Linked DNA regions of Rhinolophus ferrumequinum. The protein of the gene in region 3 interacts with the protein of the main gene of each other region in a pairwise test. Links are inferred from orthologs where the notes say so. Each region holds a gene or a part of one and is shown on either strand. Other genes may lie near its edges.

Region 1 (7,996 bases), on a different chromosome or scaffold from region 3:
GGGCTGCGCTCCCTGCAACTAAAGATTGAAAATGACAACTGGACTTGGAGCTGAGCTGTGCCCTCCACCAGTAGATTGAAGGACAACAACTTGGAGCTGATGGGCCCTGGAGAAACACACTGTCCCCCAATATTCTGCAATAAAATTAAAATTTAAAAAAACATTTAAAAAAATAGAGTGAATAATTTACCCAGGGTCACAGAGCTTTTACACAGAGCTATAACTTGAACTAGACCTGCCTGATCCCTTGCTCTTCATATTTTGTAGCTTTCTGTAGGAAGCTGGCTTGTTCAAACCCTAGTTGAAACCCAGTCTCTGAGATGTGTTCAAGATAAAGAAGGTTGTCCTCGTTTCTCCACCAGAAAATGCCAGCTGGGACTCACTATATATCAAATGCTCCAAGTCCTGGGTGCAGGTGGAGGGCGCGGGACAGCTAGGTTGGGGGAGGCGCAAGGTTGGGTTGGGTTCCTGAGGGTCCAAGCACAGCACACAGATCCAGCTATGTACCTGCTGTGACCTGTAAAAGCAGACTGGCTGCAGCCTCTGGTGGTCAGAGAAAGCTCACTCTGGAGATGGAGCAGGTTTTGAAAGGAACCTGGGGCCCCTAGTTTCCAAAGTCCTCATGGGCTTTGCAGGAAGTTTCTGGGCTTGGGGGGAAACCCGCCTTCCTGTGTCAGCAACCTCTTAGGCCTGTGACTCAGGCTCCCAAACAGACTTAACTAGACTAGAATTTAACCTTCACTTCAGCATCAATTACCAGAGAGAGTCTAAGCATGCGTTGGCCTTACCCGCCATGTCATTCCATACCAGGGAAGATTCAGAGAGCACCAAGATGCAACGAGAGCCAACGCACAAGCCACCGAGCAGTCACATGGGGGAAACTGAAAGAGGGGTAGGAAGGATCAAGTGTCCTTCCTGTAGGAAGACACTCCAGGGCTGGGGAGAGCTGGGACCAGCCAAGGGGTCAGGAAGGTTCCAGGATGGGGGACACTGTCAGGCAGACTCCCAATGACAGAAAGGTGCAAAGTTGGACATCCAGAGTGGTCTGGTTGACATCTTGTCCCCAACATCCCGGTGGCAGGTGGGAGAGAAAGGGCTGGGGATTTGTGTGGGAAGGCCCTGTGAGCAGGCTGCCAGCTGAAAGGATTCACCAGCACCCACCAGCTGCCTGCAAGCTGGCTCCTTTTGACAGAGCTGAGGGAAGGAGCTGTAGAAAATCCCCCGACCCCTGCAGAACCACCTACCAGGGCTCCACTTTTGCCCCTGCCTGAGAGACACGCCCCACTCAAAACCAGTATGGAAGGCGCCAGCATTTACCTAGAAGCACTCATCCTGCCATGCTCCACTGCACCAAGCACTTCCCATGGGTCCTCTCCCCGCCCTCCCCCACAGCCTGATTCTTAGCCCCATTTTATAGAGGCAACTGAGGCTCCGAGAGGCCAAGTGCCATGCCCTCGGGCAAACAGCTAGTCACTGGTTGAGTGAGCTAAGAAGCTTTATTACCTGCCTAGGAGGAGGCCTCCCAGACGGAGGGGTTTTCCCGGTGCTGTACGAGCCGCAGGAAATGGCAGGGCACAAGGAAGTATCCCCGCGGGCTGAGGCAGCTAACCACGGGCCCCTTCCCGAGAGATCCCTGCGGGCAAGGGCGCCTGGTACCTCAGGGCCCGGGTCCTCCACAGAGGGCGATTCACAGGCGGCACCTGGTGCCCGGACCGCGGGGAGCTGGTGGGCGCTTCTGACAGCGAGAACAGGGGCCCATTATGTGGAATCCAATCACATGGGCGCGCAAGCAGCTCGGCTTTCGGTTCTGAGAAGCGCTTAAGCAGCCGTGTCTCTCTCTCTCCTCTCTCTCCCCGTCCGGGCGCCGGAGGTGCCGGGAGGGCCAGATTCAAAGCTCGCGGAGGCTCAGTTATCCGCCCGCGGCTGGGAGCTGCATCATCAGCATCTCCAGTGAAGCTGGGCCCGGACTGGGGGAGGAGGAGGCGGGAAGGAGGGAGTCTGCATCAGGGAAGGAGGCAGCAGCGAGCGCCTCCTCCTCCCTGCTCTCCTCTCGGGCGGTCTGGCAGCTCAGCCTGGGCGGTCCTGGTGACCTTGGGGAGACCCCCCGTGCGACCTCTCTGGGGCAAGCTGCACAGTTTCTGCCCATCCTAGGCGCTCGGGGGCGCTCCTCCCGCCAGAGTCGAAGCGCGGGACTCGGGAGGAGAAGAGCGCTCCGGGAGCTGGGTACCCAGCAGCCGGCGCACGCGGCCCTTTGGAGAGGCCCGGCGCACCTCTCCCCCGGAACAACCACGAGCGGGGTCTCACAGGGGCTGGAGGGCTCTGTCAGCTGGATCCCGCGGCGGGGCGGCTGGACACGCGGGGTCGCCTGCCCTGGGGACCTTTCCCGCTCCGGGAGGAGCGCTCTCTGCGCCCCGCCGCTGCCTGAGGGGACCAAGCGGCGCCACGCGAGGGGGCGGCGCCCCCAAGCCGGGCCCGGAGGCTGGACAACGGGGATGTTTGATGCTGGTTGTGGTTCCCAATTCCCGGCATTACGCCCCCGGGCAGACGGTGACCCGAGAGTCCAGCCGAAATTTCCCGAGCCGCCCCATGATCCGGCCACGGCGACCCCAGCCAACAACCGGCCAATGCGCCCCGCATCCCGGCCTCATCGTTGGCGCGCGAGACCCGGGAGAACGCCCCCACCCCAGCCAGCCTCTCCGGTCCTGAGCTCCCGCTACCCGCCTTTCTACTGCCCCCCCCCCCCGCCCAATTATCTTAAGCCACTGGCCCTTGGCCAAAACGCCGCACACACCCCCAGCCAGACTGTCAGAGGCCGGGACCACTTCCCCGCCGCCATCCTCATCCCCTACCGGGTCAAGCCGCAGAGCGCAGCAGGGAGGCGGCGCCGCTGGAGAACTCACCCGCTCTCCCGAGCCCTGCCCCGGAGGCTCCCGGCCCCGGCTCTGTCCGTCAGTCCCCGAGCCTCCGCTGCGGGTGAGGGACAGAAACCAGCTCTGCTCCCCGCGAGCCTCGGCACCGCCCCTCGGCTCCTCCCCCAAGGCGGGGCCTGAGCTCGCGGGAAGTGGGTGGGCGCGCTCCGCCTGAAGGGTCCAGGCACTCTCGGGTGGGAGCCCCTCCTTTGAATGGGAGCCCCTCCTTTGAGCAGCTCGAAATTGAAGAAAGTTGGGATGCGGCCAGGCTTGGGTATAGTCTTCTCCCCATCCCCGCTCCACCACCACCACGGGAAGGGGGAAGCCCAGATCTGTACTTTTGCTCCCATTTGACGGAAGGGCATCGTGAAGTCCAGAGAGGAGCGATACCTACCCAAGGCCACAAGAATTAGTACAGTGCCACGAATTCAAGTCTCTTACCTTGAGGGCCTGCTCAGCTTGACTCTGAAGGCTTCCTAGGACATCAAGGAGACGGGCCAGGCCTCGCCCTGGGGACAGGTCTGTGGGAGTAGATCCCCCAGTTGGGGGTACGGGGGAGCTGAAGCTAGACCTGGGAGCCTGGGCGCCGTAGCCTGCGGCGTGGACTTGCATCATTTCCTTTTTCTGGAAAGAAAGGAGGTGAAGCGGAGGAGGAAGGAAGTGGTCGTACCTAAGCTGACGTCTGCCACTGTTTGAGATGTGCAAGCTCTAGAAAGGTGCTGCCTCCCTGACATTTAATGCTAAAAATGAAAAACAAAGCAAGACGTCCAGTCACTTCTATCATCAAATTCGAGCCTCTTTACTGGACTGAAGGCCCCTGCACTCTGAGCAACATCTTTTCTTTACAGAACAAGAGATTTAACTATCTTAAGATTGTTGTTGAGAAGACCCTACTCCTCACCCCCACCCCCTCAGGAAGAGGAGAGAAAGTTAACAAAGGGGAAAAACCCATCCCAAAACATTCTCTGGAATCCACACTCGCTGAACACTGGCTTTAAAACAATGGAGTTCTCTTCTCCACAAAGGGCCTTGTTTCCTGAGCTTTCTCAACCTCCAGCTTAGAGCCCTAGGGCCAGCCAGTGGGGCGCAGACAAGGTTTAAGTTTGGGGAGCTAAGGGGTGGTACACAGTTAATTCAATTCCCAGCAGTCTTGTTTGAAGAACTCCTCTGGGTCATTACTCACTAGCAATGTTCTTCTGAGGCTGACAGTTTAGTGGTTTTCTGCTTGCTAAGAAAACTCAGTAACCTTTCTTGGGGAAGTGAAAAACTCTGGGTTGGGCTTATTCCAGGCCCCTCAAATCCTCTGAAAGCCCCCTCTCCCCACCATTCTCCTCCTGGCTTCCTCTCAGTTCATTAATAATCCAGTTGTGAATGACACTGTTTCAGTCAGAGCAATTAGCAGAGCAGGTGGGGAAGACTTAAAGTGATGCTTAAAAAACCCAGGGGGATCATTGTTCTCTGCAGAATGTTTCCACTGATTTATCATGAAAAGCTGAGGGCTGAGAGGGCCGGAATCCATCTCTCCAAGACAGGATTCTGTGTTCCTGAAATGAAGCCTTCAGTGTAGGCCCAAACCCCCATGTTGTGTTGTTCATTCATGTCGCTTACAGTGTTTGACAGAAGTTCAAATATGCTCAGAATAAGGTGAAGGACTCACACTTCTTGGTTTCAAAACTTACTACAAAGATATCAAGACAGTGTGGTACGGGTATAAGGATAGACACACAGATCAGTGGAATAAAACTGAAAGTCTGGATATAAACACTTACATTTATAACCACCTGATTTTCAATAAGTGTGCCAAGACAATTTGATAGGGAAAGAACAGTCTTTTCCACAAATAGTGCTAGGGGAACAGGATTTCCACATGCAAAAGAATAAAGATGGACTCCTCCCTCACATCATACACAAAAATGAATTCAAAATGGATCAGACTGAAATGAAAGAACTAAAACTATAAAATTCACAGCGAAAAACATAGGTGTAAGTCACGACCTTGAATTAAGTAAAGGTTTCTTAGATATGGCACCTAAAGCACAAGCAACGAAGGAAAAAAGAGGTAAATCGGACTTCATTAAAAAAAAAAAAAAAAAGGTGTGCTTCAAAGGACACCATCAAAAAAGTGAAAAGATAACTTTTGGGCTGAATTGTGTGCCCCTAAATTCACATGAAGTCCCAACCCCCAGTACTTCAAAATATAACTGTATTTGGAGATAAGGTCTTTAAAAAGTGATTAAGTTAATTAAACTGAGGCCCTTAGGGGGGAGCACTAATACAATATGACCAGTGTCTTTATGAAAAACAGATACCACGGATGAGCATACAGAGGAAAGCCTTTGTGAAGACTCACGGAGAAGATGCCATCTACAAGTTAAAGGACAGAGGCCTCTGGAGAAACCAAACCTGCAAACACCTTGATCAACACAACTGTGAGAAATAAATTTCTGTTATTTAAGCCACTCAGTTTGTGGTATTTTGTTATGGCAGCCTTAGAAAACAAATACAATAACCCACAGAATGGGAGGAAATATTTGCAAATCATATGTCTGATAAGGAACTTATAGCTAGAATATACAAGAAACTCTCACAATGCAATAAAAAAAAGCAAATAACTCAATTTAAAAAAGGAACTAAGAATCTGAATTAGACATTTCTCCAAAGAAGATATACAAATGGCCAATAAATACATGAGAAGATACTCAACATCACTAGCCATCAAGGAATGCAAATCAAAGCCACAATGAGATACACTTTCAAACTCACTAAGATGGCTATAATAAAAACGACAGATAATAACAAGTGTTGACAAAGATGTGGAGAAATTAGAAAACTCATATATTGCTGGTTAGAATATAAAATGCTGTACCTGCTTTCAAAAATAGTCTGGCAGTTCCTCAAAATGTTAAATGTTGAGTTACCAGGTGATCCAGAAATTCCACTCCTGAGTATAGACAGACCCAAGAGAAATAAAAACATGCATCCACACAAACTTGTACACAAATGTTCATGGTAACATAATTCATAATAGCCAAAGAGTGAAAACAACCCAAATGTCAATCAAATGATGAATGGATAAATAAAATGTGGTACATTCCATAACTTGAAAACATTAAGCTAAGTGACAGAACCAAACACAGAACCATATATTGTATGATTCCATTGGTATGAAATGTCCAGAATAGGCAAATCTATAAAGACAGAAAGTAAATTAGTGGTTCTCTAAAGTTGGAAGGGGGTTTTGGAGGGCAAATGGAGAGTGACTGAAAAAGAGCACAAGTTTCTTTTTGGGGTGATGAAAATGTTTTAAAATTGATTGTGGGGGGGCCGGTTAGCTCAGGTGGGTAAAGCGCGGTGCTCTTACAACAAGGTTGTCGGTTCGATCCCTATCTGGGCCACTGTGAGCTGCGCCCTCCACAACTAGATTGAAACAACTACTTGACTTGGAGCTGATGGGTCCTGGAAAAATACACTTAAAATAAACAAAAGTTTAAAAAAGAATTGATTGTGGTAATGGTTGCACAACTATGAATATACAAAAAAAGCATTGAATTTTATACTTTAAATGAGTGAATTGTATGGTATGTGAATTGTATCTCAAAAGAGTTTTTACCCAAAAAAAAAAAAAAAAAGTTAAACTATTCTCTGGTCTTGGTCCTTGAAGGCAACCCTGACCATGTTCTCCAAACCTCTCTCTCTTGTCCCCAGGCCATCAATGAAATGCAAATCGCTTTATTTTGAGGTCACTTATGATCTGTTAGACATTAGGGGAGGGTCCAAGACTAATGAATATTCTAACAAACTATGGAAAATATTTGAGGACCTGAAAATAAATGGATTAGCTCCAACATTTAACACCTGAAACATTGATGTTTACAAATATAGAATCAAATATCTACATAACTTTATATCAACCAGTCAATTGCAATTCAAGTCAGCTCACAGTTACATGTAAATTACGTAGAAGGTAGAATTTGGGTGAATTATATGGGTGCTGTGGTGCGAGGCAAGGACTCCAGAATAAGGAAGTCCTAGAGACTTCTAAATTGTGAAAAAATGAGCTAATACAGCTCAAAGGGATTCATTTTTGAGATTACTTAATCCACTGGTTTCAATGCCAGACGGTTGGCAGGTGCTGGGCTGGCTGCATTCATTCATTCAACAATATTTAGTCCAAAACCTGGCCCAGGGTAAGCCTTAAGCCTTGATAGGTGGCTGCTGCTTCTGGTGAAATGTTGGCTCCAGGCCGGGCCCAACCAACAAATGTGCAGGAAGTGCAGAAGGTGCTGCTAGGGCCCAAGGGAAAATGAGCTGAGTGGAAAAAAGGCATTCTGGGTAAGAGTCCTGGCTCTACCATGAATTGGCTGGGCAGTCACTTCCCCTTTCAGAGTGTCCGTTTCCTGGTCTGTGAAACTCCCGATTGTACAATACTTACGTGTGTTTATGTGTGCATTTTTTCCCACGTCCCCATGCTTTTGAGGGAAATGACCTTTCTTTGGCCTCTTTTGTAAGTTCCCCAAAGAGCATTGGTGGAGCATTGCACACAGTGGGGGCCCCACAGTGGTGTGGAGGGAGCACCAGATGTTTCTGGCTAGCAGGTGAGCTCAGTCCTGCGATGTTATGACGTGAAGCAGAACTAGGAGTAGGGGCAGATGGGTTTTCATTTTTATATTCAGTTTAGAGAGAACCCTCCTAGGCCAGTGGCTCTCCATCTTGGCAGTACACAGGACTCACAAAGGGAACTTTAAAAAGTATTGGTGCCCAGGGCGGCCGGATGGCTCAGCTGGTTAGAGCGCAAGCTCTTGGCAACGGGGTTGACGGTTCGATTCCCAAATGGGCCACAGAGTTGCACCCCTGACAACTAGACTGAAGACAATGAGCAGCTGCTGAGCTGCCAGAGGGGCAGCCAGATGGCTCAGTTGTTTGGAGTGTGAGCTCTCAACAACAAGGTTGCCAGTTCAATTCCTGCATGGGATGGTGGGCTGCACCCCCTGCAACTAAAGATTGAAAACGGTGACTGGACTTGGAGCTGAGCTGCGCCCTCCACAACTAGATTGAAGGACAACGACTTGGAGCTGATGGGCCCTAGA
Region 2 (6,961 bases), on a different chromosome or scaffold from region 3:
TAGTCTTGAAATTGCACAATGTGGGATCTAAAAATGACTGTGCAAGCTGAAACGGTTCAAAGTGATCTTAATAATCAATGGGGAAAATTACATTTGTTCCAGGACCTCTCAAAATTGTCCTCAATTGTTAAAATCTCTCTTATTGTCAGTTATAAGTATACAGGGAAATGAAAAATAATAAAACCAGTATCTATTTAGCAAACTGTAATTTATAACATTAGAAACATTAACAATTAAAGTGTTTTATTTCTTCGTAAAAACATCAAAAGTAGTTTCAATAGTGTTTGTGCTTTTCTTCTTCCCAAGATATATCTTATGATAAAGCAAGCATCTTTTCTATGCCTTAGCAAATTGTTATACTCCTAAGTGTGAATCAACTTCCAACATTTTGTCCTTTACACTTTCAATTTTGTAAAATATCTCCAGGAGTTCCTCTAATATGAAGGCACTTTCAATTGGACATTTTCATACATTTTGTCATAAATACTTTCCTCATTTATGTTGAAGGTTCACATTCACTAAGTACTCTGACTGCTTATCTAGAATCTATCAAATGGTGTCATTGTCAATATTCTGATTGCTCTTTCTTCTATTGCTCCGTTTATGTTTGATTCAACTTGCTCTTTCAGTGTTACATCACTTATAGTTTCTTTGCGACACTTTCATCTTTGTTTGCCAGTTCCCTTTCAATTATCCATTTTTGTAAAATGTCACGTGGATTTATCAGTAGGAAACAAGGCAGTAAAACAACTATACACTTTGCTGTCTGTGCTTAAACTGATTAAGAGATCTACAGTGACTGCTCACTGACAAACTTTGAAAGAAATGGCATAATTGATCACGGAGCATGATGTGCATCTGTTACTTATGTAGTGATTTGTGGCCAGAAGAGCTAGCTGAGATTTGCACTTTATGTAATTACAGTTAATATTCTATGGTAATTGAAATTTGAACTGTGTTGATTGGTGCTGGTGTTATTTAACTAAATTATATTTGATTTGAGATTTGTATATATTGGAATCATGAAAAGTTAGAACTGCCTATACTCTAAAATGGCAAGAGTCTCAGACGTGAAGGAAGATGGGCAAGAGGAATATAAGCTCATTCTATATGAAGTAAGGCCTCTATCTGGGTGTCTGTTTGTCTGTGTGAACCTGTCTGTGTGTCAGCCTCAAATTCAGCATTACATTGGTCCTATGCACTTAATTTTACAAGTACAGTTTAAAAATATTTATGATATGTGCTTTCTTGGTAAATACTTTAGTCATTGGCTTGGATTTCTGGTTCAATATTACTTTCAACAGATTAGCATGTTCATTCATTTATTTGTTCATCTGTACCCAGTACAATTGGAGGGCAATAAAAAATTGTTCAATGAACAAATGCTGACTTCCACTACCCAAAAAGGAAAATTTGAAAGAGATTGACTTCACAAATTCATTTTGAGAAACACATTTATCTATGCACTTTTAGATCATTTTTAAAGATCCTAAATTCCAAAATGTTTCTAAAAAATATCATAAATATCTTTCTCTTGGACCCAGAGGAAATTAAATAAGCTTTTATTTCCCCTTCATTTTTTTTTTAGCTAAAAAACAATTATATAAAATTATTTTAGTTCCCAGAGGTGGGATATGTTTTTTTAATCTAAAAAATATTTTATGTTTGTCCTAATGTTCTTTTTGAAATATTTTTATCGTTAAATATAACGTATAGAGACTATTTCATAAAACATGAACATATAGTTTAATAATGATAAAGTGAGCAACCACAATAAAAGTCAAGAAATAGAACATTGCCAATATCCCAGAACCTCCTCTTTTGTCCCTTCTAGTAGTAATGTACTGCTTCCTTTCTAGAGAAAACAGCTCCCCTAATTTTTGTGATAATCATTTCCTTTCTTTTTAAAAATAGTTTTACCATTATGTACCGATCTCTAAACAATATATCATTAGTTACGTTTGCTTATTTCAAAATATCTATGTGAATGGAATCTTACTAATCTTTGTGTCTTGCTTCTGTTATTCAATATTGTGCCTTAAGAGTCATCCATTGGGTGGTGAACACACAGTGTAATTTATAGATGATGTGATACAGAATTGCACACCTGAAATCTATGTAATTTTACTAACAATTGTCACCCCAATAAATTTAAAAAATAATAATTAAAAAAAGAGAATAGAAAGGCCAGAAATTTACATACATATGAACAATTGATAATTTTGCTATGAGTTCAATAAAGATCTAAAAATAAAAAAACAAAAAATAAAAAATAAAATAAAGAGTCATCCATGTTGTTGCATGAAACTCTAATTCACTCATTTTCATTTCTGTATGTGTGAATATACTGTGGTGTTTGCAGTTTGGGATAATTGTGAACAAGACGTTATGAATAGTCTTTTTGCTGCTATGATCTGACTTTGTTCATGTATCCTTGTGCATGTCATTATTCACAGATTATATGATTGTGAACAAAAAAATCCAAAAGGATCTAACAGATAAATTGTTATAATTAATAAGAGGGCACGCAATTGCAGCAAGGTTGTTAAATACAAAATCAATATACAGAAATCAATTTTATTTCCATACATTAGCAACAAACTTAAAACGAAATTTTAAAATACGTCATGTAAATTAACATTAAAAATAGCAAATTTCTAAGAATAAAATTTAATAAACAATGAGAACTTTTGGAGAAAATTATAAAACTGTGGATTCTTTTAGATTTTCTATATATACAATCGTATCGTCTGCAAACAATGACTTTAATTTCTTCCATTATTCTTTTTATATGTTGCTATTTTCAATTTGCTTATATTTTATTTAGGATTTTTACATCTGAGTTCATGGATGAGATTATCCTATAAATTTTTTTCTTGTAATACTCTTATCTGATTTTGATATCAAAGGTTATGCTAACCTAGTAAAATTAACTGAGCAGTGTTCCTTCTCTTATTCTCTGAAAGAAATTAAGATTGAAGTTCTTGGTCTTTGAGAGTTTGATGGAACTTGTCAGTGGAATCATCTGACCCTGTAGTTTATTTTGTGGGAATATATTTGACTACCAATTAAATTTCTTCAATGGTTATAGAGTATTTAGGTTTTAAATCTTCTTTGTTAGTTAATATTGGTTAGGTATATTTTTCTAGTAATTTGTCCAATAAGGCTGAAGATCAAGTCATGAAGGGTCTCAGACAAGTCCTGAAGGAGGAAATGTGGTCTTATTTTCATTTTTAAGAATGAAAATTGTTTTTTGTGTTCCAAAAAACAATGAGCACTGATAAAGTTGACGAAACATTCTTCACCCTTGGAAAGCTTACAGTATAGTGGGAGAGGAAGTCATAAGAACAAATTACAATACAGTACAATAAATGCTAATAAAGAAACAAAGTTTATGAGGGCAGATAACTTACTTTGAGACTGAAGTTTCACTTTTGTATATCTTTTTGATTAGTTCCACTCAACATCTTTAAGCATTCTCAGACTTACATTACAGGCGAACATCTAAATCCCTTGGGAGCTATTAAGCAGGGATAGCCTTCCACAACATTTATCATTTAAGGTGTATAAATCAGTGGTTTTTGCTATATTCACAAGTGTGTGCATCCATTACACTCTATAATTCCAGAATGTTTTCATCCCCTTAAAAGAAACACTTCGTCCATTAGCAGTCATTCTCCATTTCTCTCTGCACTCAGCTTCTCGCAACCATTAATTTACTTTCTGTCTCTATGGAGTTGCCTGTTCTGTACATTGTACATAAATGAAATCACACACTAAAGAAACAAATAAATAAAAATGCGATAGCCAGCCTAGAGAAGCTTGAGTTAGTACCCAGTCTGACTCCTTTTTGGACTTAATCCCCTAGACCTGTGTTTATTGTTTCCACAGAGTATATAATTCAGTTTTATGAAAGACAATGATTTCTCTTTTCTTCCCTGTAGTTGTAGAGAATATCCAGGTGGTGGCTGCAGTTCCACCTTTGGTCTGGCTGCCATGTATCATGGACGAACTACTGGTAAAGGAGCCTCCACTCCCACACAGATATACGAGCGACCTCCGAGGATTCTCATTGTGCATATCGCTCTACCGTCCTGGGCTGACATCTGTTCCAACCTCTGTGAGGCTTTGCAGAACTTTTTCTCTCTAGCTTGCAACTTGATGGGCCCCAGCCGCATGTCCCTCTTCAGCTTATACCTGGTACAAAATCAGCATGAGTGCATCCTCCCCTTTGTGGTGAGTATATCTATATTTTTTTCACTTTATCCTGAAAGGAAATATGAGGTTTCTGAAGCAAGGATCACAGTTATTATTACTTATAGCATTAACTGTGCTCATTCTTATACCCAATACCACAGGCAACACAATGAGAGCCAGATGTCATCCTACACATAAGGAAGGGGGTGGGGGGCATTGTACTACAAAAGAGGAATCCCAAAATTATTAATATGGGAGTTTAAATAGGCTACATCTTGCCCCTCTCCACGCTTGAGAGAAGGAGAGAAACCTTGGCATTTACAGACCTTTGGAATATAAGCAACTGACTCTTCACACCTTTGAAATGCAAACACAGAATAATACATCTCTAAATTTCTTCAGAGGCCTCTGGTTATTCAATCACCCTTTAACTTCCAAGACTTGTCTTTTCACTCAGGTTCCAGTTTTCTTTGCTCAGAAAGTCCTAACTGTGCAGAAACATGAAAATGTGTTCTCTACTGTTTCACATGGGACTCAAATGAAATTCCCACTAGGGTTTCCGAAGGCAAAGGCTGGGCCAAAGCTCCCTTACACATAGACAACTGTGTCTCCTCATCATCAATCGAATTCAAATCTTCAGTTGGTCCCCTATACAAAGTTCAGAATCACAGGGATGGAAAGACTTCGGAAGTTCTAGTGCATCCTCTTCCTGAGGCAGCCTTGCTGCTAGGATCATCAGGGAAGGTCTGCTGGAGAGCCAGGACTTTTGTCCCTACCTGGTGGGAACAAGATCTCCTCCCCCTAGTGTCCATGGGAGCCATGTGGGAGCCTGTACGACCGCTCTCCTACCCTACATTAACAATGCCTCTGCCGCTGAGGTGATGCTGGAAGAGGCAGAGTGGAGGCCACGTGAGGAGTGGCAGTGAGGCACCTTTTTATTTCCAAGGCAGGATGGTGTCAGTGAAGGCCTAGTGAAAAGCCAGGACTTTTATGCCCACCTGATGGTAATGAAGCTTCCCCATCCCCAGAGTATCAGTGGGGGCCATGTGGGGAGACTGAACTTGCACCGCTACCCAAAAATAACAATGCACCCTCCCTTCTGGGTTGTAATCAGAGGCCAAATAGAGTTACACCCCTGGCAATAATTACCTGGAAACCTCACTTCCCCCACTGGTACAGTGTCAGAAGAGGCCTGCTAAAGCAAAATATTTAAATAAGATCCAAATCCTTATAATACCCAAAATGTCCAGAATACAATAAAAAGAAAATCACTCATCAAGAACTAGGAAAATCTCAACTTGAATGAGAAGATAACAGACCTCAATACTTAAATGACACAGATGTTGGAATTATCTGAAAAAGATTTTGAAGCAGCCATCATAAAAATTGACAAGTTTTCAGTGATTATTTCTTTGAATACTTTTTTTAGCCCATAGAAATTGAAGCATCATAAAAATGCTTCAGCAAGCAGCTATGATCATTATGAACATGCTTAGAATAAATGGAAAAAATAAAATCTCACCAAAGAAAAAGAAGTACAGAGAAGAACCAAACAGAAATTTTAGAACTGCAAAATGCAATAACTGAAATTTGAAAAACAAAAACCTTCGATGGTCTCAACAGCAGAGTAAAGAGGTCAGAAAAGAATCAGTGAACATGAAGATAAAATAGAAATTACCCATTCTGAGCAACAGAGAGAAAATAGACTTTAAAAAAATGAACAAAGCCACAGGGACCTGTGAGACGGTAACAGAAAATCTAACATTTGTGGCATCAGAGTCCAAGAGGAATGGGAAAGGAAGGTAGGGTAAAAAATATGTTCAAAGAGATAGTCACTGAAAATTTGCCAAATTTGGCAAGAGTTATAAACCTACATGTTCAAGATGCTGTCTAGCCTCAAACAGGATAAATGCAAAGAAATCTGTTCTAACGTAGAACAGATTCAAACTTCTAAAAACTAAAGACAAACTCTTGAAAGAACACTGACACCTTACCTAAAAGGGGAAAAAAATCAAGTAACAATTTTTTTCATCAGAAACTATGGAGGCCAGAGGAAGTGTCACATTTTTCAAATGCTGAAAGAAAAGAACTGTTGGGCCGGCCCGGTGGCTCTGGAAGTTGGAGCTCCGTGCTCCTAACTCCGAAGGCTGCCAGTTCAATCCCCACATAGGCCAGTGGGCTCTCAACTACAAGGTTGCCAGTTCAACCCCTCGAGTCCCAGAAGGGATGGTGGACTCCGCCCCCTGCAACGAAGATTGAACACGGCACCTTGAGCTGAGCTGCAGCTGAGCTCCTGGATGGCTCAATTGGTTGGAGCACGTCCTCTCAACCACAAGATTGCCGGTTCAACTCCCGCAAGGGATGGTGGGCTGGCCCCCTGCAACTAGCAATGGTAACTGGACCAGGAGCTGAGCTGCGCCCTCCACAACTAAGACTGAAAGGACAACTTGAAGCTGAACGGCACCCTCCACAACTAAGATTGAGAGGACAACAACTTGACTTGGGGAAAAAAAAAAAAGCCTAGAAGTACACACTGTTCCCCAATAAAGTCCTGTTCCCCTTCCCCAATAAAATCTTTAAAAAAGAAAAGAAAAGAACTGTTAACCTATAATTCTGTGTCCAGTGGAAATAAGGAATAAATCAGAAATAAAGATATTTTCAGGTGAAGGAAAACTAAGAGAATTTGTCACCAGCAGACTTACCTTAACAGAATTGTTAAAGGAAGTTCTTGAAACAGAAAGGAAATTCTAAAAGAAATAATCTT
Region 3 (7,198 bases):
GGGAAGCCCCTGTCGCAGGCATGGGAGGGGGTTGGCCTCATTCTGCTCTGGGGGTATCGCAGGTTGTTTTGGGGATCAAGAGCAGGGCTCTGGAGCCTGAGATATCTAGGTTCTATTCCCGGCTGTGCCACACACCCCTGGAGAATTGTGGCACCTCGAGAATTGAGAGAACCTCACTCAGCCTCAGTTTCCTCATCTGAGAAATGGACATCTGAGCTCCGTGGGGCTGTGGTGAGCCTCCTAAGAAGCCGTGTAGCTTGGCGGTCAGAAGGGCACAGGCTCAGGGACAGGTGTTGGCTCAGCTCTGGCTCTGCTGCTGACACGTGTACAGGACGGGGGACTCTACTTCTCGGAGCCTTCGTTTCCTCCTCTGTGAAGTGGGATGATAACAGGACCTACCTTGTAGGAAGTTTTCACTGGATTATCAGCTGCCTGACCTGGGGCAGGTAACTTCCTCCCCTCCCCTCAGGCTCAGTTTCCCCACCTGTAGGATGGATGATCTCCATGAGTATCCACAAGGTGTGCGCCAGCCTTCAGGCTCACCTGTCAGAGCACCTGCTCAGGTGGGAACCTGGACCCAGCGGCTGCTGAACCCCAAGAGCCCCGAGCACCAGCCTATGGCCCCACAGGTTGATTCCCAAGGCAGGGACAGTGGTCTCCCTCGTCCCACTCTTTGGGATCATGAAGCACCATTGCCTCGACATTCACTCAGCAGGATAATAGGGCTGCCGAGTGAACCAACAGAAGGTCAATATAGTAGGTCAACAACAATAGGTGTTGTCTGTGCTCCTGAGATCAGACACACAAAGCCTTCGGCTGAGTGTCTGTCGAGGGAAGAAATCCTGAGGTCCTCAGCTTGCTGCCAAACCCAGAGAAAGCTTTCCACCAGGTGTCTGATCTTATTTTTGTTGTTATTATTCTTTGCTGACATCTTGTCCATGAAGCTCTTATCAGGTGTCTGAGGAGTTGGCAAACCCTCCGTCCTAGAGGTCATTATCATTATCGGCTGCTTGATCTTGAGTGAATACCTGCCTCCCCCAGAGGCTCAGATTCCCTACCTGTAGGATGGGATCACCCAGTGAGAGAAATTTAGGCTTTCCCAAAGGCCAGCCACTTAGTGGGATAACCTGGTGTGGATTCGATGGTGAAGACATCAGAAGTCGATGCTTTTGCTCCAAGTCCTGCAAATTGCCCCTAGCAGGACAGGTTCACAGTTCTGCTTGTTTCTACTCTGTCTAGCAGTTGTGATGGAACTGGAGAAGAGGGAGAGGACAGAGGGAATCCAGGATGGGGACTGGGAGGACAGGGCCTTCAGGAATTCTCCAGGGTAGGAATCCTGGGTCCCCAACCACAGCCTGTGTGTGACCCTGGGCAAGTCATGGCACTTGAGCCTGAAGATGTTCCCATCTGCATCATAGCAATGCAGTCTCTACCTCCCTTGGTTGTGCTGAGGACTCAGTGGTATCCTGCATAGAAAAGGCTTGTGTATGAGTTATCTATGGCTGTGTAACAAGTCGTCCCCAAACCTCACGGTAAATGTGAAACAGTAAACATGTACGATGTCATACGATTTCTGAGGGACAGGAATCCAGGAGTAGCCTCGCTGCGTGATTCTGGCTCAGAGTCTGCTGCTGGATTCAGAGGTCGCCCAGAGCTGCAGTCGTTTGCAGGCTTGACTGGGGGGCTCATCTCCATGGCTGTTGGCAGGAGACCTCAGTGTCTCACCACATAGACTTCTCCATAGGACTGCTCGAGCATCTTCCAGAAGGAGAGCCAGAATCGGAAGTCATGGGGTCATTTCTGCGATATCCTATTGGTTGCACACGTCAGCCCTGCTCAGTGCGAAGGACAAGTCAAGGGTGTGACGACCAGGGTGAAGATTATTGGGTCCTGCTTAGGACACCAATAGATTCTTAGGACTTAATGTTGTTTTTGTTTTTATTATTATCAGCACTGAGACCCCCAGTGACCTTCCCATCAGGTCCTGCATAATCTTAGTCCACTTTCCCCCTTGATCATTCTGCTCCAGTCACACTGGACACCTTGTTTCTCCTCCAACAAGAAAAATCTATTCCAGTCTCCAGGCCTTTGCACCTGCTGTTCCCTTTGCCTGGAAAAGCCTCGACCTTGAGATCTTCCCACGCCTAGGAAACTTGGCAGCTCCAGGGTCACCTCCTTACTGAGAGCTCTTCCCTGTTCTTTTATCGGAATTAGATGTGTCACCCTCACTCCAAACCTCGTCATTATATTCTTCCATTTAATTTTTCCCGGAATTCTTGAAATTCTCTGAAAGCATTTTGATTTTCTAAAACATCTACTTCTTTGTTCACTGTCTGTTTTTCTGACTCAAATCTGGAAGTTCACTCTCATGAGAGCAGTGATGCTGCGTGTCTTATTTCTTGCCACATCCCTAGTTCCTAGAGCATGGTGGACCTTTGAAAAATATTTACAGAATGGACAGTAGGTCCTTAATTTATAATAAATAGAAGTCTCTCAGGTGAGAGATGAGAAGGATGGGGCAGTGGGAGAAGAAAGGAGTAGGAGCTGAAATACATATCGTCTACTTTTTATTCATTTACTTACTTTTCAAATATTTATTGGTGCTGGGGACAGAGCAGGGATGGAAATACACCTAGTCCTTGCACTCCTCTGACAGAGCTGGGGGAGACAGGTAAACAAAGTTAAAATGTGTCATATTTAATACATGCAAGGTCTTGAAGAACAGGAGAGAGAAAATGTGTGTGTGTGTGTGTGTGAGAGAGAGAGAGAGAGAGAGAGATCCAGCTGAGAGTGTGGGACAGCTTCCTTGGGAAGTGATGTTTGAGCTGAAATCGTGGGTGAGGAAAGGGGTTAGCTGGTGAGAGGGGGTTTTGAACTGGGGAGAGGCATTTCTGGCCCAGGGAACAGCTTGTGTGTGTCCAGAGAGGCTGCAAGGTTTTCTGAGACATCTTAAAGAGGGCAATAGCGGATAGGGGCCATGGAAATGTTCTCATGTCTTTTTCTTTTCTTTTTAGAGTTTATATTTTGTTTTTGAAAAGGTGACACATATATATGGTTAAAAAGTAACCCAAACTGCAAAAATAATGTATGGATATAGCACACCTCCCAAGGCAGCCACTTTTACCCTATCTTGTGTCCTTCCTGGAAATTTTCAATGCATAGACATGCATCTATAATAATAATAATATTATTATTGTCGTTGCCTTGTTTTAAAAATCACAAATGGTAACATGCTATACATACTGCTCAGCACCATATTTTTTCTTTGACTATATATAATATATATTGTACACGTATATGTTATATAGTTACTATTACATATAATTTGGTAGTATATGACCTCTACTACACACATACACCCTCACACACACCCTTATTGTCAAAGTGTAATTTTAAAATATTTTAAATCCTGACTCTAAGACACATACGTAATAAACAGGTCAAAGATTGATTTAAGTTATTGGAAACCAGCTATTTCAGAGATGAATTCAAGGAACAGAAATACAGTTATTTCCCCATTAATTGTTCATACACATAGTCATTACAAACACACATGTATCCATCCCTACATCCATTCATCTAATCATTTATACACACATAACCGTATCCATCCGTCTAGTACATACATACAACCCGATGGGTCAAAAATGGTCGTGGCAGATCATCGCTTGCTGACGTTTTAATACAATTAGGGTGAGCCACCAGCCTGGTTTGTCAGGGACTCTCCCAGGTTTCACCCGGAAGCCCCACATCTTTAAAACAGCTTCTGTTTCAGTCAGACCGGGGACCGCTGCTCACTCTACTCTCTGTGATTCTGCGTGAGGTTGAACATCTTTTCCCGGGTCACAGAAAGAAAAGATTTTGGAGAGGGAAATGGCAGGATCAGATTTTTTAAAGGACAGAGCAGGAAGTAGAGCTTCTATTTAAGATGTCCATTACAGCCTCAGCTCTGCTTAACGGACAGCGTCTCAGTGAAGCTTTGAGGACCCTAAGCAGCGGGCCATTTATTATAGGTGGGGAAACTGAGGCACGAAGCGGAGAGAGAAATTGCCCAAGGTCCCATAGCTAAGAAGAGACTGAGGCAGGATTTGATCCTAAGCCTGCCTGTCACCATCCGGTAACTGGGAGTGTTTGAGCCCCGCACCCCTTCTCTTGCAGGCCCACTGACCTGGGCACCAGCGTCCAGGAAGACCATGATGGCGTATATGAACCCGGGGCCCCACTATTCCGTCAATGCCTTGGCTCTGAGTGGCTCCAGTGTGGATTTGATGCACCAAGCTGTTTCCTACCCCAGTGAGTACAGTCGTCCCTGCCATCCCAGACTGGCCCCCATCTACTGGGGGCTTCTGGAGTCCCTTGCCCTCAGGAAAAAGACGGGCACTTACAGAGGTGACATCAGGGTCATATGCAAATGCAAAACACTACTCCATGCAAAACACTACTTAGGGATTCAGGAAAGTATACAGACATTCAAAGAAATTTAGGATAGTGTTTCCATCAGGAGTGAAGGAGAGGGAAGTGATCTGGAAGAGGAACCAGAGGAATTTCCATCTGTTAGAAATGCTTTATTTCTTTTTTTAAAAATAAATTTTATTGGGCAATATTGGGAACAGTTTGTTTCTCCAGGGCCCATCAGCTCCAAGTCGGTGCCCTTCAATCTAGTTGTGGAGGACGCAGCTCAGCTCCAAGTCCAGGCGCCGTTTTCAATCTTTAGTTGCAGGCCAGCAACCTTGTTGTTGAGAGCTCATGCTCTAACAAACTGAGCCATCCGGCCCAGAAATGCTTTATTTCTAAGAGAAGTGAGCTCTCTTTGTATTTTTGGTGGCATTATTATTTAGCTGTTTGGTGTTTGTTTTGTTTTTTCATTAAGTTGAACATTATGCATCTGCCAGTTGTATAGGCTAGAAATGGTTGAATATCCAGTGTCATGTTTTAGTGTCTAAGAAATTAGAAAGGGACCAAAAAACAAATTCATACACCTCCTTACATGGCTAAAGCCAGGTGTCCTCGGGGTGAGGCATGAGCCCCAAAATGACAGGCAAAAAGGGACCCCATACCCAGGGAGGCGGAGTAAGGTCCAGAAGGGTAGGGCACATGAACACACAGAAGGGGTTTCTGAGCGTCCCACACACCCTCAGGGCCTCACACCAGCAGATGAAGAGAATGGAGCCAGGTCACCTAAGGGTCCCGTTTTCCTTTTCCCCACCCAGGCGCCCCGAGAAAGCAGCGGCGGGAGCGGACCACCTTCACCCGGAGCCAGCTAGAGGAACTGGAGGCTCTGTTTGCCAAGACCCAGTACCCGGATGTGTATGCCCGTGAGGAGGTGGCCCTGAAGATTAACCTGCCTGAGTCCAGGGTTCAGGTGGGATGTTCCGGCCCTTCTTGGGGCCCAGAGTGATGGGAGGAGAAAGAAGCCACAGAGTAGCAGCCACAGTCATGAAAGGCCAGAATAATCCTTTACCCCCATTATTTCACTGGCCTCATCTCAGTGTTCCTACCCTTCTCGCTCCACTCCAGCCAACTGGCCCCTCGGTTTTCCTCTAACATGCCCACCAAGCACACTCCTGCCTCAGGACCTTTGCACTCTCTGTTCTCTCTGCCTGGAACGTTTATTCCCCATCACCTTGTTCAAGTCTTTACCCACCAATCAAGTCATTGAGGCCTCCACCGGCAGTCGAATTTAAAGTTGCAATCTTTCCCCACATCCCCCAACTCTACTGCTCCCTCTTTCCTGCTCAATCGGTTCTTCCGTAGTATTTATCACCTTCTAAAATATTATGTGCTTTACTTACTGTTTATAATCTGTCTCTCTCAAGTAGAATGTCAGCTCCACTGATGTATATCCCCAGAGCAGTAGAAGACGGTTAATGCATGTTTATTAACTGATTGAATGGATGAATGTGTATATGTGTGTGTATTTGTATGATTAGATATTTGTATGACTGGATGTATGTATGATTCATGTACCAATGTGTATGTGTTTGCTTGTATGATTGCATATATGTACTCATGACTGGATGGTTAAATATGTGTGTGTGTGTCTGTGTGTGTGTACAACTGTATGTGTATATTTATATATGATTTACGTATGTATTAGATAAATGAATGTATTTATGTATATGTGAATGATTAGATGAATGGATATGGACACGTGTGTTTGTATGAATGTATGTATGTATGGTTGTATGTATGAATGAGTGGGTGGATGGGTGGACAGACAGTAAGGTGGGTGGATAGATAGATGGATGGATTAGTGGATAAGTGGATGGATGGAGTGACCTATAACTGATTGCAAAGTGGAGCGGTGTGACTCTGGTGTGTCTCACCCATAAACAACATCATTTCTGGGCACCATGGGGGCTCTCCTGGGTCTCCTCCCCACTCACCCACCGGCGTTCCCCTCTTACCCCCCAGGTTTGGTTCAAGAACCGCAGAGCTAAATGTAGGCAGCAGCGGCAGCAGCAGAAACAGCAGCAGCAGCCTCCAGGGACACAGGCCAAGGCTCGTCCTGCCAAGAGGAAGGCAGGCACGTCCCCAAGAGCCCCCACGGATGTCTGTCCAGACCCCCTGGGCATCTCAGATTCCTACAGCCCCCCTCTAGCTGGCCCCTCAGGCTCTCCCACCGCAGCAGTGGCCACTGTGTCCATTTGGAGTCCGGCCTCAGAGTCCCCTTTGCCCGTGGCCTCAGGGCCTTCTCTCCCCTCAGCCCCCTACACCATGACCTACGCCCCAGCCTCTGCTTTCTGCTCTTCCCCCTCAGCCTATGGGTCTCCCAGCTCCTACTTCAGTGGCCTGGATCCCTACCTTTCTCCCATGGTGCCCCAGTTGGGGGGCCCGGCTCTCAGCCCCCTTTCGGGCCCCTCCGTGGGACCCTCCCTGGCCCAGTCCCCCACATCTTTGTCAGGCCAGAGCTACAGCGCCTACAGCCCTGTGGACAGCTTGGAATTCAAGGACCCCACAGGCACCTGGAAATTCGCCTACAACCCCATGGATCCTCTGGACTACAAGGATCACAGTGCCTGGAAGTTTCAGGTCTTGTAGCCTCTCCCTCCATCTCTGCTCTACACCCGCCTGCCCACAGCTTAGATATTTGGCCAGCACCTCTGAGAGAGCAGCAGGAGCCAGTCATCCTTCCAAGGCTTGTGGACGCTTTGACTGCATGAGCAGCGTAGCTCAACACAACCCACCCCTTTCCTCC
Region 4 (7,459 bases), on a different chromosome or scaffold from region 3:
TTAGTCTCTTTATCTCTAAAATAATGCTACTTAATCTCCTAAGTAGGCTTGAGTAGATGTATACTACATGCATACATGCAGAAACACTTAACAGGCTTGATACATAGTAAGCGCAATACATACGTATACCACTATTATTATAGCATTACTGTTATCAGTGCTATTATCTATCCCTAGTTAAGCTGGGTTCTGCCTAAAAATGTACTCAAAGTAAAAGATCCCGAACACAACTGCAGAGGACTCACAGATCCCAGATTAGAGCGATCCTACCAAAGTAACTTGGTTTATAGTAAAGTGGTTCTTAACCTCTCTGTACTATGGACCTATTTAATAGTCCAATTAACCTATGGATCTCTTCTCAGAATGTTTTTAAATATATGAAATACACAGGATCACAAAATAAACCAATTATATTATAGTCATCAAGATGTTTTTAAATTTAGTAACAAATGTGCTTTACTATTAAGTAACATTTTTAAGAGTAATGAGGGTAAACAATATTTCAAGATTATCTGCAAAAACTGTATTATATATAGAAATATTTATCTTGTGGCATTCACTGAAATTTCAAGAATTTTCAATTCTAGATTTCAATCAGATGCTAGTGGGAAAAAAAACAGGCAACTTTTTTTTCCTCAACCAAGTTCATGGACTTCCTCAATTCTATCTAGGGACCCAGAGTAAGAACCCCTGATTTAGAGGAAAAGTGCAAAAAATAAATTTTGGGACCTGAGACTTATGTTCTAGAAGCTAGACTTCAGACTTTAGTCTTCACATTATTCACACCTGAATGACCTTAGACATCAAACTTCTGAGCTTGGGTTCACTGGTTTAAAAATAATTCCTATACCATGAGGTTATAAAGATCAAATGATAGTTAACAAAATGCCAATAACCAGTGGGATTTTTTTTTTTTACTGATTTTAACATATATTCAGTCCCAAGTATTTAGTGACATTGTTAATTTTTTATAAAACTCATTATAAGAAAAATTTTAAACCACTTACTGATTCACACAAAAAAAAGTGATTCAAGGAAACATTGATTTTATGTAACAGTTTAGTGAGAGCCATGATTTGGCATATAGAATGACCTGTATCTAAATCTTAATTCCACTACTTTACTTTTACTAAGTTACTTAACCTCTCCACTTCAGTTTTCTCACCTGTAAAACATTGCATTGTTGTTTTAGAAACAAGAAAAGATCTTAAACACTCAATAAATGAAGCTACTATTAAAGTTCACATTTTAACAAAGCCAAAGGAATCAATTTGGAACTCAAAAGTTTATTTTGGAATTCATGTCGATATAAATACAATTTCACAGGCTTTCTTTTGTCCTGCAAAACACATACACACTTGAAACCTGCGGCATTTGCACGGCATAACATTCCTAACACAAACTGGCACTGCTTAAAATCATATCTGATTTCTTATTTCTGCCTAAAGGAAAACAACAGTGAGGATACAATCGGTAAATAGAAGGGCTCAGTAATTTTAAATCTTTTTATGCCTTACTTGGAATGTTACAATGAATGTTTATTATCAATGTTGGACATACTCTAAGGTAGCTGTGTCAATTTAAAACCCAATTTAAAGATCCCACATTTACCAGTGACACTGATTCGATTTTTAAAGCGAGAGTATGTATTTACTTTACGCCGTAATATTACGGAATAAGATCCCTCCCTTCCTCCAAAAAAACGCCATAGACTGGCCCCAGCTCCCCGATCCACTATACGCAACCTGTAAATTCCTTCCCTCATTGAAAAGATTCTTTTTATGGGCATAGTTAACAAGTGCCGAGTTGCGAAGTTGCAGCTTTGCTGGTTTGACGTTTTCACAATGCAAGAACAATATGATCTGGAATATACTCAAAGCATTAGCCAGGCAGTCAGCTGATGCTCACTGCACACAAGAGAAAGACAGAAATAAGAGAAATTAAACCTCGTATTTGTGTAAGGCAGGTATCCACTACTTTTAAAATCAAAATAGGCCAACAACAGAGTTCCTTAAAGTAATAAAAGTATTTCTATTGTTAAACAACAATACAAAAAAAAAATCTTCCCGCAGAGTAGGTTTCTCTCATTCTTGGAATTTTCCTTGTAAAGGGCTTTCGTCGGTTCATAAAACCAACTCCTCACCCCCCCAGCCGCAGCTTGAGTAACTTTTACAAAAGGTCAAAGCGGTGCCTTTCAAGGCTTCCAAACCCTATTGGCTTCTCCTCCGTTCACAGTAACTTACTTTCCGCCCACAGAACGTTCCAGAGACCGAGGGACTAGGACCAAACAAAATTTGGTGAGGGTTGTTAAAAAGAGGCTTTCAACTTTCTTTTCAAAACACTTCTACCGAATTCCAGCGTCCTCCCTCCGCGGCCCCACATGTTGCTCGCCTCCCTCCCAGAGGGCCCCGCGAGGCCTCGCTTCACCCCCCAGAACGCGCCCACCTGATTACCCTTTTCTCCGCAGACTCCGCCCCCTCCCCCTCCCCCGCCTGTTTGCCTCCTTTAGGAGATCCATATGGGACACTTCCCCCTTCCTCTGATCCTCACCCCACACCCGACAAGCCTCGATTCTCCCCCTTCTATGTTCCCCGACTCCGGCCCTCACATCCCACAGCTTCGGAAAGTGTTGTGAGAGTGCAAAGTGGAGCCGCAGGCCTGCACGGCCCAGGTGCTGTGTCAGCCTATCTGCCGGCTCCGCGGCGTGTACGGCCTGGAAAGTCACATGGCGGTGGGACCGGCCGGCGTCTGCACACTCTTGCTCCCTTCGGAGCAGGACGAGATTACCGAGTCCACTCACCTCCACGAAGAGCAACATGTCTTCCCCCTTTCGGCCCAATCCTTCTCGCCGCTGCTACTCCAACTGTACAGGCCCGAGCCCCAAACGCTAGGATAAGGACACTCGCCTGGCCCCTCCACCCGGCAGTGGACCCGGCTCCTCCCCCGCCGTCAGCCGCTGCGGCCTGACCCGCCCAGTCCCACCTCCCTTGAAACAGCAACTGTTTCCGGTTCTAAAGAACAATTGCTTCCGGGAGAAGAGACAATCTTCGGGGTGCTCAACTTTTGCACCACCTTTTCCCGCAGCAGCATGGAAAGTACTATCATCTGCCCTGGGAGGAAGAGGGAAGCGATCAGAGGAAGGCACCATTCTGTGCTACGGGGGTGTGTAAAAGTCGTACTGCGTTTTATCCATTGCCAAACAGATAACTAATAATTTCGTAGTTTTCATAGCTCAAAATCTAGATGTGATGAAGAGCCGAGTTTGTGCGAAGTGTTCTGAAGGAACGCCCAACGCTGCCGAAAAGGTGGTGGATAACAGAAAAAAAGTAGAGGAAAAGAAAAAGCACTAATAGTAAATATATTAATAGCAGCTGCTGTATATTAAATGCTTACTATGTGTTTGGCAGTCTAAGTATTTTACATGAATTAATCTGAAAACAATCATATGCAATATATACTATTATCCCCATTTTATCAGTTAAAGAAGCCCTCTAGAAGGGCGGGTTTCTCTTAGACACACCTTTAAAGAACTTTGCCCCACGTTCGCTTGAATCGGGTGCCCACATCTCTGCTTAATATAATGCTACTTAATAACACTTAGTTTGGATAGTCTCTTCTTGGTGTTCTGCCGTCAATTCAAATGAAATATAATTTTTAAAATTTCGTTATCTTTATAATTTTGTTAGATGATCCAAATTCCTTATCTTTAACAATACCTAGTAGGATTTATTCCTCCCTTGTCAGCCTCACTTCTATATCCTAGTTCAGACCCTCATCTTTTGAAATAGTCATGTCTTGATCTTCTCCAATGGATTTTTTCCCATTCTATTATTTCAAAAATCTTCCTAAATTGAAGGTTTCACTTTCACCAAAACTGCTGTTATTTGCTTTCAAGACCATTCTGATCCCACATAATCTACCTTACTTTAGCTCAAATGAATCTCCTTAGGTGCTAAATTAATTCCCCCATCAAATTGCTAGTATTTGTGTTTCATACTCTCCCTAATCTGATCCCCAGTAAACTCAACATTACTTCATCCCAATTAAACCGATCTCCTCACTTTTCCCCTGAAGCACAAACTCAGCACTCACCTCCAAAGCCATGGCTTAAAGGGTCTTCCTTATCTGGAATGGCTTCATTTGTCAATCAACCTTCTCTCTCCATGAGGTTTTCCCAATGCTCCCCACAGATCTCTTCTTCATGTCCCTTGTTAGCACTTGAATATAATATTATATTCTATCTTAAATCATTTTCCTTTTTTGTTTGTTTTCTAGTTGCATCACAAGTACCGTATCATATTCTTCACAGTTTAGGATGATGGTAGCCACATAGTTGTGTCTCAACAAATGCTTGTCAAATTGAAAGGGAGGGAGAGAGATTTTAAATTTGCTTTAAAAAGTCTTCATTTCCAGTTGCTGACAAATTCCATGATGCATAAACAATATGAGAGAAAGAGAGAACACAATAATGCTAAATTAGTTTAGTTGACAAGCATGTAGACAGCTTTGTGAATGCCTATTGGAGTAACCAATGTAAAGAAATCAAGAGAAATGAAAGTTATTTAAGGGTCTCACAATCTAATATTATCAACAAAGTACTTAAACGGATTAATTGATAATCTCAAGAAATGCCGGACAATGATGGGTATTTTTATCAAACCTCACATTTATAAAAATAAATAATTCTCCTTAATTGTCGTCCTTTCAGAAAACATGAAGTTCCTTGAATAGACTTACTTGTGATTTACAGGAAAGGGGGGAGTAATATTTTATGGCTAGGGGCAGAGTGGGCCTAACAATACAAGGAAGTATTCTGGGGCTTAGAAAAGTTTCCATAAGAAGAATCTGAAACTATAATGGATATCCAAATGTTAGACAGTTTCTGTGAGGAACTGAGGAAGAATATACCAAATGTTAGAAAAAGAAAACTAAGTACAGCATCTGGTTTTGAGAAGTTCACCAACTAGTAGATAGAGACAAATAATAGTTCTACTTCGATGAGTTAAGTACTATAATAGAAAGTTTACAAAGTGATTTGGAAACACAGAGGAGGGAGTAACTTAGACAAAGGATCTTAATTAAAGAGAAGGAAAAAGATCTAATTTGCTCTCGCTAAATATACTGGTATTTTTAAAAGACAACTACTTGATGATCCTCTGCCTCCCTTTCTCTGAAGGCCTGAAATATATATATTGTTTAACTTTACAAGTTTACAACAAGGACTCAACATAGGACTAAGTTCACAATAAGTATTCAAATAGGAAGTTCTTGTAGAGAACATCCAAAACTTGTATAAAATCTAAAACCTACAAAATGATATTATATAGTTTATGAATACATATACCTGTAGTAAAACCATATAAATATAGACTAGACATAAATACATCCAATTCATGATTGTCATTGCCTCTAAAAAGGGATAGAGGGGAAGGAAGGAATTTGGGGAGAACACCAAAGGGGTCTTCAATGTTATCTCTAATGCTTTATTTAAAAATATCTGAGGCACATATGACAAAAATGTTAATATTCAATCCAGGTGATAGACACATGGCTATATGTTATAGTATATATACATATGTTATATGTCATTTTTCATATCTTTGTAAATTAAAAATTAAGCTACACAGCCAACAAAACTACCCTGTCCTTGAATTCCTCCAGTCTCCTAAATCCTTTCATGTCCTCTGCAATCAAGGAAGCTGCCCAAAGCACTCCTCTTTCAGTTAAAAAGCAGCCCTAGCGTTCCCTTCAATTTCTGGAGTCAACTATGGAACTTCAAAGCCTCTTCAGTCAGGTTCCTTGAAAAAACAGGTAACTAGGTAGTGCAAAGAGCATGATAATCGTTCAAAGAACACCTTCCAAGTTACAGCATGTCTAGCAAAAGTTGAAGGGCAGCTGAGGAAGTTGTAACACAAGTATTCCATTACAGGCTGAAAAATTCTTAAGTAAAACTTGAAGAAGAGTTACTTGAAGGGAGTTACATTTGATACACTGGATCTTGAATTCTAACAGCTAGATTTTAAGCTCATGTAAGCGGGCTATTTCTTCTGTTTCTTTTATCGTTCCTGTTGTCTAGTCTTTTCCTACCCACCCTCCCCCCTCACCCTTCTACCATCACAGCATATAGAATGCCTAGTTCTCTGCATATACTAAGCACTCTTTAAATGTTTGAGTCAACAATAATGTCACAATGGGCCTATTATGACATCACCAGGAATGGAACACCATGGTTAGCAACCAATTAGTAGCAGGGTAAATCACAACCCTTGGAAGCGGAAAAAAACCTCTTCTAGCTTTTTTCTACACATTTGTTAGCATTTGCTTATATTCTGTGGAAAGAAGAAATAAAAGAAAATCACTCAACTTTTCAAAATATTTACCAAAATGCAAAATGAGACAAAAGATGAATCTGAATCAGAAAATGAAGTTATGGATCCCATCATGTCCAGAATAGCCCAATCAATGGTCTCTAAACTTGAGATCCCAGACACAGCACAGCAAATCATCTCTAAGATTGAGCAAGCAAAACTCTTTCGAGCCAGACAGGTAGGTAGTAAATGAGAAGTTTACAGGATGCAACTTTTTTTAACTTTCCATGACCAGCTACAGGTTTTTTTTTTAGAACTTACATTATTTGCATGATATTTGACTGTTTTGAGGTAACGTTGAGCTCAAATGACGATTTCTCCTGACTATGGATTACAAGCTCCAATTTTATGTTAATATCTTTCACTTTAATATCGGAATTAATCAAGTTTTAGAGAAATAAATCACATGTGCTACTGAGTGATTTGGACACAAAGAAAAATTAAAATCCATTGCCAATTTTGATATCTAATTTTAATCAATAGTTTTCATTTGTTCACAACTGAGTTTTTATCAAATAACTATTAATAAAGAGAAACATAGATTAATTTGAACTCTAGTTCCTTTTGTTTCCACTGAACATTTTTTGGAAGAGGGGTTTATTGGCCAAGAGAAATACAAAGCAATTAAAAAAGAGTTTAAATAATATATCAAATAGACTCCCAAACAATTAAGGCAGTGCTGTACTCTAATCTCAGATAGAATGCAACAAAATCAGTCAGGTTAACAAATTAACTCAGAGGCAGTTCTTTCCTACTTTCGGAAGTGCTGAATGGGTACATGTACTTTCTCATTCACCAGGTAGATTTACCGGAGTTCCAACTCCCCACAACTAGCAACAGTAACACAGTGTTTGCTTCTAATAGCTTCACTGAGGTGTAATTGCCATACAATAGAATGTGTATTTTTAAAGTATGTTTTAATATACATGAACTCCCGTGAAACCATCACAATCAACAATGAATTTACCCATCACCCCCAAAAGTTTTCACTCCCACACACCCTTCTTTGCCCCACCCCCACCAATCTGCTTTGTTACTATAGATTATTTTTCATTTTAAAAGAATTTTATATAAGTGGAATCATACAATAT

What was found.
Region 1: the proteins of CRX (region 3) and PPP1R16B interact in binary tests that used the Homo sapiens proteins (3 or more experiments, as listed by UniProt). The two-hybrid records come from large-scale screens. The link is inferred for Rhinolophus ferrumequinum from reciprocal best matches to the Homo sapiens genes CRX and PPP1R16B.
Region 2: the proteins of CRX (region 3) and M1AP interact in binary tests that used the Homo sapiens proteins (3 or more experiments, as listed by UniProt). The two-hybrid records come from large-scale screens. The link is inferred for Rhinolophus ferrumequinum from reciprocal best matches to the Homo sapiens genes CRX and M1AP.
Region 4: the proteins of CRX (region 3) and LARP4 interact in binary tests that used the Homo sapiens proteins (3 or more experiments, as listed by UniProt). The two-hybrid records come from large-scale screens. The link is inferred for Rhinolophus ferrumequinum from reciprocal best matches to the Homo sapiens genes CRX and LARP4.

Annotation. Positions count from the first base shown.
Region 1 is NC_046306.1:17,491,646-17,499,641, forward strand, and holds the start of PPP1R16B (protein phosphatase 1 regulatory inhibitor subunit 16B), read right to left. Parts: upstream 3,019-7,996; 5' UTR 2,901-3,018; intron 1,656-2,900; exon of another isoform or gene 1,504-1,655; intron 1-1,503. UniProt on the Homo sapiens protein: Regulator of protein phosphatase 1 (PP1) that acts as a positive regulator of pulmonary endothelial cell (EC) barrier function. Involved in the regulation of the PI3K/AKT signaling pathway, angiogenesis and endothelial cell proliferation.
Region 2 is NC_046296.1:17,443,128-17,450,088, forward strand, and holds the start of M1AP (meiosis 1 arrest protein), read left to right. Parts: upstream 1-3,951; 5' UTR 3,952-3,996; coding exon 3,997-4,236; intron 4,237-6,961. UniProt on the Homo sapiens protein: Required for meiosis I progression during spermatogenesis.
Region 3 is NC_046298.1:43,662,219-43,669,416, reverse strand, and holds CRX (cone-rod homeobox protein), read left to right. Parts: upstream 1-4,193; coding exon 4,194-4,293; intron 4,294-5,210; coding exon 5,211-5,362; intron 5,363-6,414; coding exon 6,415-7,041; downstream 7,042-7,198. UniProt on the Homo sapiens protein: Transcription factor that binds and transactivates the sequence 5'-TAATC[CA]-3' which is found upstream of several photoreceptor-specific genes, including the opsin genes.
Region 4 is NC_046293.1:51,101,814-51,109,272, reverse strand, and holds the start of LARP4 (la-related protein 4), read right to left. Parts: upstream 3,014-7,459; 5' UTR 2,819-3,013; coding exon 2,801-2,818; intron 2,384-2,800; exon of another isoform or gene 2,244-2,383; intron 1-2,243. Other genes in the region: protein FAM186A, read left to right, coding at 3,249-3,326, 6,376-6,546. UniProt on the Homo sapiens protein: RNA binding protein that binds to the poly-A tract of mRNA molecules. Associates with the 40S ribosomal subunit and with polysomes. Plays a role in the regulation of mRNA translation.